3 linked regions of the Schizosaccharomyces pombe genome follow. Changing the gene in region 1 together with any one later gene gives a genetic interaction. Each region holds a gene or a part of one and is shown in the gene's direction. Other genes may lie near its edges.

The links. Genes that interact genetically often act in the same process or in processes that back each other up.
Region 2: of mga2 (region 1) and nem1, a mutation in one rescues a mutant of the other (synthetic rescue), as found in Schizosaccharomyces pombe (2 studies listed by BioGRID, with this or other methods).
Region 3: mutations in mga2 (region 1) and sac12 together harm fitness more than expected from each alone (negative genetic interaction), as found in Schizosaccharomyces pombe (2 studies listed by BioGRID).

What each region holds. Positions count from the first base shown.
Region 1 is NC_003424.3:4,123,297-4,129,604, forward strand, and holds mga2 (IPT/TIG ankyrin repeat-containing transcription regulator), read left to right. Parts: upstream 1-1,786; 5' UTR 1,787-1,915; coding exon 1,916-5,371; 3' UTR 5,372-5,509; downstream 5,510-6,308. Other genes in the region: protein Gid5, read left to right, coding at 1-1,222; shelterin complex subunit Pot1, read left to right, coding at 6,233-6,301.
Region 2 is NC_003423.3:3,371,194-3,376,317, forward strand, and holds nem1 (Nem1-Spo7 phosphatase complex catalytic subunit Nem1), read left to right. Parts: upstream 1-2,108; 5' UTR 2,109-2,271; coding exon 2,272-3,702; 3' UTR 3,703-4,359; downstream 4,360-5,124. Other genes in the region: RNA polymerase I transcription factor subunit Rrn6, read right to left, coding at 1-991; U3 snoRNP-associated protein Utp3, read right to left, coding at 4,368-5,124. UniProt on the Schizosaccharomyces pombe protein: Catalytic component of the nem1-spo7 complex which acts as a phosphatase and may be required for proper nuclear membrane morphology.
Region 3 is NC_003424.3:2,060,808-2,065,791, reverse strand, and holds sac12 (inositol polyphosphate phosphatase), read left to right. Parts: upstream 1-2,009; 5' UTR 2,010-2,150; coding exon 2,151-3,986; 3' UTR 3,987-4,219; downstream 4,220-4,984. Other genes in the region: eisosome BAR domain-containing protein Pil2, read left to right, coding at 1-939.

The sequences.
Region 1 (6,308 bases):
CGCAACTAAAGAAGAAGAGAATGAAATTAATTTTTTATCCGATGAATTGCAATCCAGCGTTTGTTTTAATCTTCCTGCTACCAAAAAGGAGCAAAAAAACCTAATCTTAGAATCAGTTTTGCTAGCCGTTGCTGCATTAACAACTTCTAAAGATGAATACAGAAAACTAATAGTTGATGCTAAATATTTGCCTGTTATCATTAATGCTTTGAAAATCAATTCTAACAGCGTGAAAAAGGCTGCTTGTGAATGCTTATTAAGTCTCTCGAGAAGCGTTTACATTTTACGTACGGGCCTTGCCGATGCAGACGTGAGCGAACCATTAATAAAGTTGCTTTCTGACCCGGATACTAGAGTCAAATCGACTGCTACGTCTGCCATTTGTAACTTGGTACTTAAGTTTTCTCCTTTGAGAGAGAAATTCCTTACTACAAATTTCATTGATACTTTGATATCAAATATTAGTACGAAAGATAGCAGTCTAAGAAAGAAGACCGTGTGGGTTCTGCGGCATGTTGTATTTGGTGATGATGAGACGATCCAGCTTGAACCTTTAAAAAAGATCGGTGCTTCAAAGCTTGTGGAACTTTGCAATGACGAAGATCTGGGGGTCCAAGAGCAAATGTTGCAAGTGCTGCGAAATTTTACATGTCAGAAAGAAGAAAGCGTGGATTTTCTTTTGAAAATGGTTCCTATGGAGTTGTTAGCAAAAATTTTGCTTGAAAAATTAGAAAGTAAAAATCCTATCCTAATTGAACCCAGTATTTACATTTTGGTGCACATCGCTGCCAGCGATGGTGAGCTTAGGGATTCTATCCTAAGGCAAACCAAACTACTACTATTGGTGAAGGAAATTATGCTACAAGAAGCACAACGTCTCAAGCCCGAGCAAATGTCCACAAATGTGTCATCTCCGGAAAGTGACAGTGAAATGGATTTGCAAGAAGATGATTTTGATAGGGAAATGCGTCCTCCTTTCGATATTTATGAAGAGGACACTTATGAACCAAACTCCGAAATTCTGTTGGCCGGAATTTGGCTCTGTATTAACATTCTATGGCCCAAACAATGTACATCTCCAAGCCAGGAAGATAAGGAAAGAGCAAGTATCTTACAAAATCTCGGATTTGGAGAATGTTTGCAGATGCTACAAAATCACTCATCTCCTGATGTAAGGGAACGTGTCAAAGATGCCTTGATGTACATCAATGTAACCGATTAATTTCTATTACGCTTTTCCGTTGTCTTTGCCGACTTGATTGGAACAGTCTAACAAATCGGAGCCATTTTCGCATTTAGTATTTCTGTATGTATAAATGTGTGCACAACTCTTGCAGCTGAAGTTAACAGGTTGTTGGATTGAAGTACTTTGAGAATGATCGTATATAAAAAGATTTAATGATTTATCAAAACGAATAAAATAAGTATTATGAACATTCAACTTATATGTATGCGGGATAGTGTAAAAACCTATTTAACATTGTAAAAATTTTTTAAGGAAAGTTGTACTTTGACAAGAACAATTTCATTTACATGTATTCTACTAAATTTATCAGAATGTTGGGAATTTTTTTGTTGGTATATAATGCCGAAAGGAAATTAATCGAATATGAAGAAAGTGGCGGAACTAAAAAACAAAACCCACAAACTAATTATTTAAATAAATATAACATAATAACTTGTTAAAATAAGAGTAATACTAGAGAATGTGTGCTCAAGTGGAAAGCATGTAATACTTGCACAACGTGATGGAAGAGATTAGTGTAGTAGCGCAGCGACAGCTTCCAACAACCAACTAATCGAGGAGGAAAGCAAAAGTGAGAATTGAAAAGAAGTAGTACATTAAAGACCTTTAAATTCTTTGAAAGAATTGCCTTTATAAAGGTAGTCTATTGCATTTCAAAGTACTCTCAAGATGAATTTAGAATTTTCTTTTGGAAATTTGATCGCCAAAAATACCGAGAATTCGACTAAGGAAGAAGGAACTTGGGAAGTAAACAAGCTCATGAAATTTAGTTCAGAGGAGGGGAGGTCTTCCTCTGATGATTATATGTTTTCCTCTCCCGATTTTGAAAAAGCCGGAAACGGCGATGCAGAAATGCGTGAATTTTTTAACTTCGATGGATTGCCGGATCAAGGTCTAAATTTGCCTAGTATAGCTCCTCCGTCTTTATCCCATGCCAGTTCACCTAACTTATCGAATTCACAAGATGAAGCGGAATGTTTACCGTCTGATCGTCAGCAAGACTACATCAATCCTAGTTTGCATTTGAACAGAACGGTGTTTCCTACTCCGCAACATTCTATTTCTGATGCTAATTTTCTAGCTAATACCGTTGATCAACCTTTGGGAGATAATCCCATGTTTGGAGAGTCGGATGTTTATCTTTTAAAAATGGATCCTATGAAACAAGCACCTTATGAAGCTGGATTTAATTCTGTAAAGTCATCGGGCGCCATCGAAGATCCATTACAGTTTAGACAGCCGATTACCATGTTGGAAACTCCCTTCAACGAATCTATTAATACTCTTACGCCATATGCCGAAGATTATGCATTTTCCTCTTTAAATACGTCTGCACCGCCTCTTTCTAATAAGGAGTACGCGTTCTCAGTTAATCATTTACCAGCTATCAATGAGCACAAATGGAAATCTCGGGTGGAAACTAACATGCTTTTTGAGTTGCGGATCAAGAGCAACGATAATCAAAGTGTTCCGTTTGAATATCTTCGCTTGCCAAGTTGGGCTCACCGTGAAGACAAAAAGCGTTCTTCGAAACCTCAGCCTTTGCAACCCGATCCGGAGACCGTCATTCATCTTGTACCTACCGTTCTTGCAGGTGACAAAAGCTCAGTTGTTAAGACTTGCTGTACTCGCTGTTTACTTCGAGAAAGGAAGCGCAATGCTCGATCTCAAGCAACAAAGGATGCTTGTATGCCTAACTATACTAAACTGAAGGCTTATGAGCGTAACATGACTGATGCCTCTCCCGAAGAAAAGCAGCAGTTCAGGATCAAGCTCTTAAATCAATTTCCCAAACTTGAAGACATAGATGAAGATAGAATGATAATGGTTTTTACTGGACCTGAGTACGTTCGTTTGCAATTGGATGGAAATGAAAGAGTTGCTCACATCAATGCACGGATTACATGTTACTCGTCTCATCAATCATGCCCTTACTTTCACATCATATGGGACTTATACTCCATGTCACGTTTGGTGGATCGTCTTGTTTTTCCAGAGCCTGTTACCGTTCTTGATGATCATAAAAGTAGAAATCTTACGAAATCAGAAAAGACTGGTAAGAGCAATTCTCAACAAGCTCCTTCAAACCATGTTCTTTCTAAAAGCAATACTGTCCCCAATCTTGTCACTGGTTTCCCTACCCGTTCAGATAATCCACCAAATGAAAAGCGTCGTCGAACATCCTCGAGTGAAAATTCTAGAGCACTCGACATACAACTATCTGCTAGTGACTCGCATTCACCTAATTCGAAAAGCACTTTGAAAAGTGTTGAGGGCTCAGCCTTTAGTATGAGCAAATCCCCTTCTGTGCTGAGTATGACTACCCCAAGCGGCGTAAGTCCTTCCATTTCAAAGAATGGTTTCCATGTTGTTCGAGTTCCCAGCGATGCCGCTGGTTTCCAACAAAGACAACAGCAAGAGGAAGGAGTGCTTGAAGCCCATACAAATGAAAGTGCCCCAATAGCCCCATTCCCTTACTGTACAGATGATTTCTCGTTTTCCGTTGAAGAAAAAAGTAGTGTCAACAACTTGCTTACACAATTTGATGAGGTTGCTAAACCTGATTTTGTAAGTACGCCGATAAAAGAAAATGTTGATTCTTCTTTTATAAACATGACTCCACCTGATGTTTCACATGCTCCCTTAATATCTCGGATTATTCCTAATAAGGGTTCAATCATGGGAGGTTATGAAGTTACAATTCTTGGCGCGAACTTTTTTAATGGATTAGTCTGTTTATTTGGTGACAACCCAGCTGCTGTAACTTTTTCGTGGAGTGAGTCAACGATTATAGCGACTTGTCCTCCTGCAACTAATGCTGGAACCGTTCCTGTAACCTTTCAGAACTATAATTCATCTTCTGAAGCGCCAGTAATGTTTACTTATGAAGATAATTTAGATAATGAACTTTACAAATTAACTGTTCAAGTTTTAGGCTTAAAACTTACTGGATCTATTCAAAACCCATTAACGTTATCCAAAAAATTGTTGAGTTCATGGCGCGACGATTTTGCTCAATATATAACAAATTCTATTAAGCAGCCTCCTAACAGTGAATCTAAAGGTCAGTCTAAAAAAACCTTATTGCATGATAGCAATATGGAATCGCTTAAATCGGTTATTTCGCGGATTGTGAAAAAAGACAGTAATCAGTCTGATGACAGTGTTGAAAGTACTATCCTCGCAGCATTTGCTCTTGTTACAGATACAACGACACCATACCTTTCTGATTTTAGTCTTGTTAACGAATCTGGTAGGTCACTTCTCCACCTTACTGCTGCCTGTGGATTGTCTAATGCTTCGACGTTCTTATGCAACGCAGGATGCGATGTTAACAAAAGGGACGCACTTGGCTATACACCACTGCATTATGCTTCATTGTATGATCATAAAGACATATGTGTTAATTTACTTTCCAACGGTGCCAAGCCTGATGTTATAGGAGCTAGCGGTAAAAAACCGATAGACCTCTCCTCTTCTGAGCCTATAAAACTGGTCTTTAAGGAAGCAAATAATGAACAAGCCCAAAGTATTTCTCGCTCTCTTATTAAGGATTCTGAAGGCTCCATTAATACAAATGAAACCTTAGAATCAACCAGTATTGTTAACGAAATTGAGGAATCTGCTGTTCAGACCAAGTCATATAGTGAAAGTATGTGGAATAAAACTGTTACAATGTTTCCATCGCTTCAAGAACTACCTCAGAATTATATGAGTGAAGTTCCATCCATGATGCAAAAAGCCATGCTGTCAACCTTAAAAAGTATATCGGCCATTCCCGATGATGTACCCCCTCCTTATTCTGAGTTTGCTGATGATACGACAGCGCAAGCTGGTTCTAGTAAAAGAGATAGCGCTATATCTGAAGATCCCGATCATCACAAAAGTGTTTGGTGGTCTTTGAGATGGCAATCTCGGCTTGTTGGTCGTGGAAAATCTACTGCTCTTACTCCTGAAGAAACCAGAGCAATACAGGAGCAGGCAAAGACACTGAAAAAGGCAGGAATGGACTTTATGCTATTCTCTTTCTGGTTACCTGCCCTACTTTTGCTGAGTATCTTTGGTCTTCGAAGCTATGCTCAAATGATCGGGGGATATTTATATCGCTGCATAATTGGCATTTAGGTTTGACGAACAACCATGCATGTTTTTTTCTTTCTTTTAGTTTTATTCTTTTTTGTAGATTATGAGCAAACTACTGTCAAAACTTAGGTATTATGACAATGAAATCGTATATATTATATTCGATTGGATCAATTTTTTATTATATTGAAAGTAATTGCTTATTTTGTAAGTTAAACTTACATGGGTTTAAACGCATAGAGCAGGTTGGCGCTTTTAAAACCAAAATAGATCGTTGCAGGTTTGCTGTTCTGGATCGTGAATGCAATACCTTAGGAAAGTCTTTTAATAAGCTATCGCTTTTTGCATTGCATTCTTTTTCTAAACTGAACGTTAGATTAGCTAAAGTAAGCGTCTTGAGTTTTCGAGATGAACCGCATACATTAAAATTTTTAAGTACCAATTGGCATGAACCGGTATGCGATCTGCTTATTATAATACTAGTAAATCTTGATACTCGGCAAACTCTTTCAATAATAGCCTAGCAGAAACTGGGATATGTCTAAAGTTTTACAACTGCGCTCAGCTTAAGGACTTTACGGCGATCCATTTAATAGCTAGCCATGAACACTCATAACCTCAAGATTGAGGAGTGGGTCATTCTTTTGCTTGATAAAGAAACAAATTCATTATTGGTAAAATAAAACTGAATAACCCTTAGTTCATCCTAGGAATTTGAAGAAGGGGAATGATCAAGCTTGAACAAGTAACTCTCACGCAGTCTATTGAATAATCTGAAGGTTCATCACTTTCAAGGGGTTGTCTTGGTTTAAAAAGCTTTTACCAATTCCATTTAGGTTTCTGAGAAAGGCTAAAACTCATTTGTTGTTCTTAAAGGATATTTGGATCATTCGTTGATCAAGCATGGGAGAGGACGTTATTGACAGTCTTCAGTTGAATGAGTTATTAAATGCTGGAGAATATAAGATTGGAGTGAGAT
Region 2 (5,124 bases), on another chromosome or scaffold:
TTGTTGGTGCAGAACATAATGCTTGTTGCAAAGACTCTTTGAAAGAACTACCGAAGCATTCCCTGTACCCATCATCTAAGAATTGCCAGATGGTCCATCTACCAGATGATGAAGTTGTTAAAAAAAATGAATTATCGGTGGGATGGACAGACACGTTAGCAAACGAGTCAGAATTATAAACATCATCTGCGTACAAAAAACGCAGAGGTATAGCGGACAAGCATCCAGGTGTATTTGGCTCATCTAAGAACATTAAATCATAAGTTACCTGGAATATAACCAACTCACAAGACGATAATGCGAAGAGCAAACTTGGTTCTCCATTAGAGAAAACCAATTGTCTCACTGGTTGTGAGAATTTCCATATTGGATCCTCAGCAAACTCAAAAGCCGATACATTCAAGTAAAATGGGAATTCTTCAAAAGTTGCAGTATTTTGTAATGTCGGAGATGCACGAAAAATCCATGGAGACGAGAGGCATAAAAAGAGGAGATTTTCCGCAGTTTCATTGCTAATCTTGCTACAAGCAAGACATTCAGTTGTGGTGTATCTGTTTTTATCTGATGGCGCTGTTTTACCCAAGCAAAAAGTATTTAAAATATGTGGATTATATATAGACTCAGCAGAAGAAGCTAATTGAGACTCTTTCGCTAGTGTAGAAAATAAATTTCGCGGAACATATCTGCAAACACTTAAACCAAATGAACTACTAGTCGCTTTACGCGTGGAATTGGTGGCCTCAGCAGGAAGCTCAGTTAATTTAGGGAGTTTGTAGTTTGGATTTAAAGATAAGATATCCCATCTTTTGTCCAAGTCAACAAGCTCGACGCCCGTATAGGAGTCATACCTAGCAAAAGTCCATTCATTATTTTCAACCTTCTCCGCTCTGTGATAGCCAGATGGATTTAAAAGTTGACACGCCCCTATAATTCCATAATCCAAACTTACACTAGGTTTTTTACTAATTGCATCAATAGGCCATGTTGACATGAAGATAATTAGAAAAATAAAATTAGATTGAATTGTGTTTACAAAAACACATCTAACGACAATACAAGAGCAACCTAGCGACAAAGCAAGTAATCAGTGTTTCAAGGAAGCAATGCTGGAGTAATTTCACCTATAGTTAAGAACTTGACTTTATTGTTATACTATAATATATTTAAAGTGCTATCTTTAAACCATTATATAATTATATAAAATATAACTCCTACCGACTACATGCTTTCAATTGAACAATTTATTGATTTATGTTAACTGAGAATTTCTCTTTACTAGAAAAAGATGAAGTTTAAAAGTAATACTTAAATTAGTCATAAGACAGTGTTCAAGTAGGAGAGGAGTTCTTCTCCGAAGTCTCTAAGCTGCTATCAATTACATGTAGATTAACACAGCAACAAAACAATCTCCTTTACAATGAAATGCAAACGCTTACGATTTTGGAATGATTTAGCAATAGATAAATTGGTTTACGAATGTTGCATTAGCCCAGTTTTCCCTTTTCATAAAAAATACGTAAGGAGGTGCTGATACCTGAGGAAGAGTGCAATATTCAGATTAGCAAGTGTTTTGAATTCTCTTTAGTGTCCGCTTAACCAATTTTATCGATATGTTTATAATTTTGTAAAGTCAATAAGTTAGTTCAGCCTGTTATTTGTAAGTAATTTATTGTATGCAACGTCTAAAGGAGCTTGATACATTTTAACGTACCATTAAATATATTTAGACTTAAAAGCATCTTTCAAGTAATGTCAAGAAACCTAAAAAGACCGCTCGGCGACTTACATTCTAGCAAAACGTTGATTAAAAGAATGGCAATTAAGCTAGCTTCTACAAATATTTAGACTTTTAATAAAATGAAAATTAATTTTTCTTGCACAGAAACCCATACAAGTAAAGTTTATTAGTTAAAAAAAATGAAAGCTTCTGCAATGAACTTTCATTTTACGAACTTAATAAATATTTACACCGTATTGTTTACATTTAAATTTGTTACTTTAAGGTAGTTTTGATATATCTTCTTAAGCATTACGTCTTATGAAAATGTTATTATTTGGGTTGTAGTTCATCATTATATATATTGTGCATCGTACCACCGTGTGATTCTGGCTTTGTTTTCCCACATATTTTAGGTCTAACTAACACATATTTAATTAATTACTCTTTTTTACTAAAAGGACTCTGCTTGGTCGTTGTATACTTTGTATGCATCGCTTCTTTTGGTGAATTTTTTAATTCTTTGCAATCGCAGCAGAGAGAAAATAATTGTAATGAATTCGATTGCTAGGCTATCAGATGAAATTAATAAAGCAATCCTTGCCACTCCTTTAGACGACGATGAAGCTGACAAAGAAAAACTTGCTAATGCTCGGGGGCGAGCTTCATCAGCTACTTTGAGGCATTATAATCGTCGTAGATCGTCTTATTCGGCGTCCAGCCTTAGCAGTTTGTCATCAAAACCGACGGAAAAGGAAGTTCCTACAAGGAATGAAAAACCGAAGCATGCCAACATTATGCGTGTTGTCGTCTACTGGATTCGTGTGTTCCTGAAACGAATTTATACGTTTTTCGTTCATTCCGCTCGTGTATTTTTGTACCACTTTTTGAATGAAGAGAAAGAGTTTACCCTTGCAAGTTTTTTTTGGGGTCTATGCCGGTTTGTCTTTTTTCCTGTATTATTATCGTATAAACGCCGAGAGATGCTTCCCCCTCAGCCAAGTGTCCGCCGTCCTAGGTTTTATTCTTCTTATTCTTACCCATCCTCTCACCAGGATCCTGCCTATTCATCTTTCAAACGACATAGATCTTCTAATTCTTATAGCAGTTCTTCTAATGGAAATCATGTTCGTTTTCAGCCCTCTATTGCAGAAGAAGAAATTTCTTTCAATTCTTTTTCAAATTCATTGAATTCAGAAGAAGATGTGTGTGTTTCTCCTATGAAACCCAAAGAGGTCTCCCTAATGGGAAAAGCAAATTCCAATCGTTCAGGACATTCGCATCAACCTCAATCAACTCAGTTTTCCCCGCCTGCTAATGACAATATTTCTAAGCTGCCTTCCTCCTTTACGATAGTTAATGATCCTCTTAAATCTCCTTCTTCTTCCCGTCTCCGTATTAGAAACATTACTCTGTGTGCGGACAAAATACCGAGGCCTTTGTTGAATAGCAAGTTACCGAGAAAGACCCTTGTATTAGATTTGGATGAAACACTTATCCATTCCGTGTCTCGTGGTAGTCGAACGACTTCTGGACAGCCAATTGAAGTACATGTGCCTGGTGAACATCCAATCCTTTACTATATTCACAAAAGGCCTCATCTTGACTACTTTTTATCAAATGTGAGTCAATGGTTTCGCCTTATTTTGTTCACAGCATCTGTCCAGCCATATGCTGATCCAATAATTGATTATTTGGAGCGTGATAAAAAAATATTTGCTAAACGATACTACCGTCAACACTGTGCACTTGTCGATAGTTCTTTCGTTAAAGATATTTCCATTTGTAATATTCATCTTTCACGGATCATGATAATTGATAATTCTCCAGCCAGTTACAATGCTCATAAAGAAAATGCCATACCTATTGAAGGTTGGATTAGCGACCCCTCTGACGTTGATTTACTAAACTTACTTTCTTTTCTTCATGCACTGCAATATGTTCATGATGTGCGAGATCTTTTGGGGCTTCGTCTCGCAAAATAAGTGCTTTTCATGATTCCTTTTTTTTTTCGTGAGTAATTTACTCGTTATTTATCACCAGTAACGATGGTCTAAAATAACTTTTTCTACTGCATTAACATCTTGGGTGCCTTTCCTTTCTCATCATCAAACTTCTTTGTTATAACCTCAAAAGGGTACCTTTTGGATATTTCCTAGACCGCATTTGGGCCATTCCAGTTAAATAATTTTTGTTTCTTTTTGCTGATAATATGTCAATTAATGTAAGCCTAATCGTAAGAAATTCTTTCTAATAAACTAAACGCATGTTTTAAGAAAGATTAGTTTCTGCACTGATGTTCGCAGCAATTACGAAGGCAACTTACTTATGAAATTTCTTTCTAAATCAAGCTTTTAATAAACATGTTTATTCTATTTAAGTGTTGATTCTTTTTTTTTTACTTTTCAATCTGTTATTACAATCAACTTACTTAATCAGGATGGGCAAAGGATTATAAATGATTTAATGATTATAAACCAGATTACATAGACTTTTAGCATTTTAAAATCATATCACTAGGCTAACGACATTGTTCTAGCAAATAACATAACCCAAAACCACATTATTATTATATGTATCTAATAACACGAAAATTCAAAAAACCTAATATATGCAGAATTAATAGTTGAATCAATACCAACCACCACTTCTATTGAAGTTTAATACTTTTAACTAAACCAGCTTTAATACCAGTCTGCTCACCAGCATAGCCGCCCTGTGGTGCGCCCTTGTAAATAGCCTTTTTGCTGGCTAATTTCTTCTTAGCTTTTTCGTAGCGCATACGCTTTTTAAGTCGAGGATTTCTATTTTCTTTAGGTCGACGGGGAGTTAATCCTCTATTTTTAGCAATGTCTAAAGTAATTCCACGCTTATCACCTTCACCTAATTCAATTAGTTCTGGGTGCCTTGAAGCTCTTATTAAATCACGTTCGAGATCGTGATTTTCTTTACGGAGCTTTTTAGCCATCTTTGATTTTTTATCGAGAGACTCGTAATAATCCAAATCATCTTGATCTTCAACTTCACGATCGACATTTGCAGGTATGCCCATTGATTCCGGATCTTCATCATCAAGATCAGCACCAGCATCCTGATTTCGACCCCTGGCTGCAGCTTCTCTCATCAATCGCTGCTGGCGTTCAAATCTTCGTTCTTTGTATGGCATGTCCAAATCACCTGATAACTCCAGTACCGCTCTGGAACGCTTAGCTGCCTTTTGGTCAATTTGATTAGCATAAAACTTTAAAGAGCGTTTCCTAGCAATCTTGTCTTCAGCATCAACATCGTCCAATCTGTTGCCTTCACCATAGTCATCGAGATTTTTAATATTAGTATTAATTTTAGATTTAGCGGCTCGAAATTTCAAAGTAATATCATCATCTTCAGCTACTGGAATATCCTTAATG
Region 3 (4,984 bases), 2.1 Mb from region 1:
GAAAACGTTGCCATGGAGCGCAAAGAATGTGCCAATCAACTTTCGTATTGGGGTGAAGATTGCGATGATGATATTAGCGATATCAGTGATAAGCTTGGTGTACTTTTATATGAAATTGGCGAACTTGAGGAGCATATGGTAGACAGATACGATCAATATCGTGTTAGTCTGAAGACCATCCGTGATATTGAGGCTAGCGTTCAACCCACCCGTGTTAAGAAAGAAAAGCTACTTAACTCCATTTATGATGTTAGAAGCCGTGATCCTGAGTCCCCAAAGCTTATTACTATGGAACAGGAACTAGTTCGTGAGGAAGCTGCGTGTTTGGTTGCAGAAGCGCAGTTAACTAACATTACCCGCGAAAACTTTAAACGTGCTTTTACTCTTCATATTGGTACATTACTTGAGCATTCTGAAAAGGTTGCTATTCTTTGCGGGTATGCCAAGAAGATCCTCGATCTCCTGGACGATACTCCCATTGTTCCCGGTGAGCCTCGCCCTATTTACGATGGTTACAACATAACCCGTGACTATATTGTTGAGGCTGAACGTGAGTTGGCTAATTGGCAAAATCCTTTCCAAACTCCTGAACCCCTTACCGACATTGATGGTTTGCCTTCTCAAAGTCATTATCAAACACAATTTCAAGCTAGTGTCGTTCCTCGCACAGATGTAATCAATGAACCTCCACGCCGTTACTCTCATGCGAATGGTGTAACTACTTCCGGCACTACACACTCTTACACCTCTACAGGTAGTAAAAGATATTCTCAAATGGGTACAGAAGATTATCAACCTAGTTTTCAACCAAACATTCTTCAAAGCACCCAAGTTGTTGATAACTTTGAAATTGGCGAGGAGGATGATGAAGAAGTAGGATCTCAAGGCGTTGCTGAAACGTCTATGCCTAGCACTAGTGCACAACCTATTGCTGCTTAAGCAAGTCTTGGTGTGTATTCACGCGATTTCTGGTGATCCTTACGCATTCATCAATTGACGTGAATTTTTTGTCATGTCAATTCACATAATTTGCTAGCACGTGTTAAGCACTTGCTATTGCTACATATGCATGCTTATCGAACTAATACTCACGTTACTCTCATTACCATTGTTTTTGTGTCTATGTCGTTTAACCATATTTATTTTCCACCGAGTTTTATGTTTCGCAGATGTTGGTTTCTTAATTATCTTGTTTTTATTTAGTGTTTTTTTTTAATTCCTGCGGTCAAAATTAGGCTTAACAAGGTTGTTGGTTAAAGCAATTAATTAACAATGGAGATTATTTGTGTTGAAAAAGGATTTTATTAAATGTATGATTTTATAATTTTTACTTCTCAATCCGATTTAATAAAATATTTATGTAAAAATTGGCAGTTCGGTTGTATTAGTAAAAAGCAATACAACATAGATAGCAAATTCAACTGGGTCAGATCTTTAGTATATATTATTTAACAACGGTAAAAATATCAATAAAGCTTAATTAAAGCAAAACATATGCTTCCTTTCGAAGAGTTGGTTATCATATAACACCTAACTTTTATAGAAATTATGTATCAAAATATAAAGCGACATTGCCTATATGTTACTTGCAGTCAAAGAAGGCTCGTAAACTATTTTGATTATGCGATAGAGTATGGTATGTTTTCTGTGATATCTGAAAAACGCTACGATGAATTATTAATTATTTTTGCTACTCTCAAAATCAATAATATCATACAGTATTATGATTTTCGTTTGCCTATTCTTCGAATTATAGTTTGTAGTTCAGCCTTAATATAGGTAATTGGGGAGTATCAGCATCACCAGACGACCTATCTTGTAAAGCAAAGGTACAATGAATAGCGATACTTTACGTATCATTACATAGTGCAATGAGAATTGTTAATAATATCATACATTACACTGTCACTGAAAGTTCGTTTTGTAAAACGTGCTGCATAAACCTTCAGGTAACAATGAACTCGTTACTCAGGCGCTGCGTTGGAAATCAAGCCTTCAAAAATCGTTTCATGGACATTAAAGAGTTTGATTTGAATTTTTGTAAATATAGCATTCTCATTTTTTACTTTTGAGACCTAATTTGGAAAATACATTAGTCCGGGGTTCATTATAGCAGAAAAGCATCTACGCTTCTCAAATACAACAAAATAATGAATCAGGACGTTAGAGTATTTCCAGACAGCATTTATCTATCATGTTCCAAAAAAAAAGCTTCTCTTCGAATAGATAGAGTCGACGGATGCCTTAGTTTGAGCAATTCTCTTGATCTCAGCAAGACACCTGACTATAATAACGTTCAGTTATATGGATTTATTCGATTGAAAATATACAAATATGTAGTTCTTGTTACAAGTTGTGATTTGCATGCAGCAATTCTCGGAAACAATATTTATCGGGCAAGGAAATTTGCTATCTTCCCAATTACAAGGACTCTTCCATTCTCCACGGGTCTGCTAAATATTAAAGATGAGGAAGAACTACATTATATCAGTTTGCTCAATAAACATTTGTCAAAAGGCCAAATACTTTTTAGTCCAACGTTAGATCTAACCTGTTCCCTTCAAAGATTACGCGTACTAACCCAATCTTTTGAACTGACATCAAAATATAATTACCGCTTTTTTTGGAATAAATATGCATTTCATGAATTAATTGAATTGACGAATAAGGATTTAGGCTTTCAAGAATGGATTCAACCGATGATTCAGGGTAATATCGCCATTACTAACTCGTTTTTAAAGACTTATAACCTTAGACTGTGTGTTATTACACGACATTCTCCTGACTATGCGGGTACGCGGTATTTCACCAGAGGTGTAAACGCACAAGGAAGTGCTGCTAATTTTAATGAAATTGAACAAATAATAATGATCGAATCACCCATCACCCTTGAAGAACAAATGGTTCTTTCTTTTACTCAAATTCGAGGAAGTATCCCCATGTTCTGGGCCGAAGTTAATGATCTTCATTATCGACCTTTATTATCTTTACAACCTCTTGATTATAGCGAGACTGTGTTTGGGAAGCATTTTCAAGAACTTGCCAACGATTATGGGGACAATCTTGTGGTGGTCAATCTTCTAGACCAAAAAGGACGTGAAGCACCTCTACGGTCTGGGTTTGAAAAATTATGTAAACGAAATAAAAACCCTCCTTTGTCTTATGTTTACTACGATTATCATAAGCAAGGAAGTAGAAATCTCCCTTTGTTTCTTGCTGAAATTCAAAGTCTCTTGATAGAAGGAAAATATTATGCCGAGCATGGATCTAAAACTACTGCAATGCAAACCAACTTTGTAAGGACAAATTGTATGGATTGCTTAGATCGGACGAACGTCATTCAGACTAGCATTGCACAGTTTATTCTAAACATGCAATTACACGATATTGGTGTACTTTCTAGCTCTGAGAGTTTGGAAGAATATGATAGTTTTTTACAAGATTTTCGCTTAATATGGGCTAATACTGGAGATTATATCAGTGATCTCTACACTGGTACCCCGGCCTTAAAAGGCGATGTGACTCGCCATGGAACGAGAACCATTTTTGGAGCTTTCAAAGATTTATTAAACTGCTTTCGTAGATATATTCTTAACAATTTTTTTGACGGTATGCTGCAAGATAGCTATGATTTGGGTCTTGGAGTATTTCGTCCTTACGACTCACTTTCGATTCCGGACTTGCCTTTGCGTTTTCACTGGACTAGATTTGTGGCACCTGGAATTTTTTTGTTCACCACGATAATATTAACTATACAAGAATTATTTGGAAATCCAAGTCTGTTCTGTCGTCTGTTATATTCTATCCCTATGGTGAATGCTGGAATCTACCTATATTTTCATCGTAGACAATACGTTAATTGGCCTCGTCTAGTACTACCAACGTATGCTAAGGGAGGTTGGTTTTCGTTTCGTAATCATTTCCGAAATATTACTCTTAAAGTGTTTCGTTTTTTGCGTTCCGGCTCTTTCAAAAAAAGTGTCTAACTGTGCATTTCAATAACTAAAGAACAGTATTGCTATAACTCTTAATTAGCAGAAAACGCTCTTTGAACACTCGAAGTTCACTCTTTATTTCATTAGACTTCATAGATGTCAATCTTGCTACTGAACAAAGCGATGCTACCCAACTTTATCAAGTGACTAATTCAGATCATTTTACGTGATTGGTAATTGTAACTTTATTTTCTTTAATTGCTCCAAGCTTCCTACCAATATCAATTAGTAATTTAAGATTTTCATAATTGTTAGAGCCCTTAACAAACTATTGTAGTATGGATAACACACGAAAAAAATATAGCAGACAAAATTAATATTTCTAACTTTTATTAAGTCAGTGTTAAATATTGGGCAACTTTGACCATTGAATCACTGAGGCTTTTGACTCAAGTTTTACTCGGTTTTAAACAGTAAATGAAATATATGAAAAAGCCAAGCTTTCTTTCAATTTCATAAGTGTTGTTCATGTTCAATATTTAGGATACATACTTCTTCCAATTTAGGGGCATTCTGGTTTAATATTTTCAATGAACATGTTATAAAAATGAATTTTTTAAAAGATCATACAGTTCAGCAACGTTTTCTAATACTTCCAATCCAGAATCTTAATTCACAATTCACATTACTGAAAAAATGATGAAGTTATGCCTTACCCGACAGTTTTTGTATGAAAACTCCACAATATTACGAAAATGATTATATACACTTTTACAATCAGCTTAGCATAATTATGCTTATAGAAATGGAAATGCTCACACTTAATTTTGAATATTATTTTAATAGTGGATTTAACTACTCCTAGTACCAAGTCAAAGACTTGAGATCACTTAATGTAGCTTACGGAAGCGTAAACATCTCTCGCAATAATACTGCGTAACGAAGACCTGCAATTTAGTATATTAAGCTTGAACTTACACGTATACCCCTCTTGTTTATGTTAGCAGGAGTGCAATGTTCTGAACTTGTATATTTTAAGCCGTTCTGTT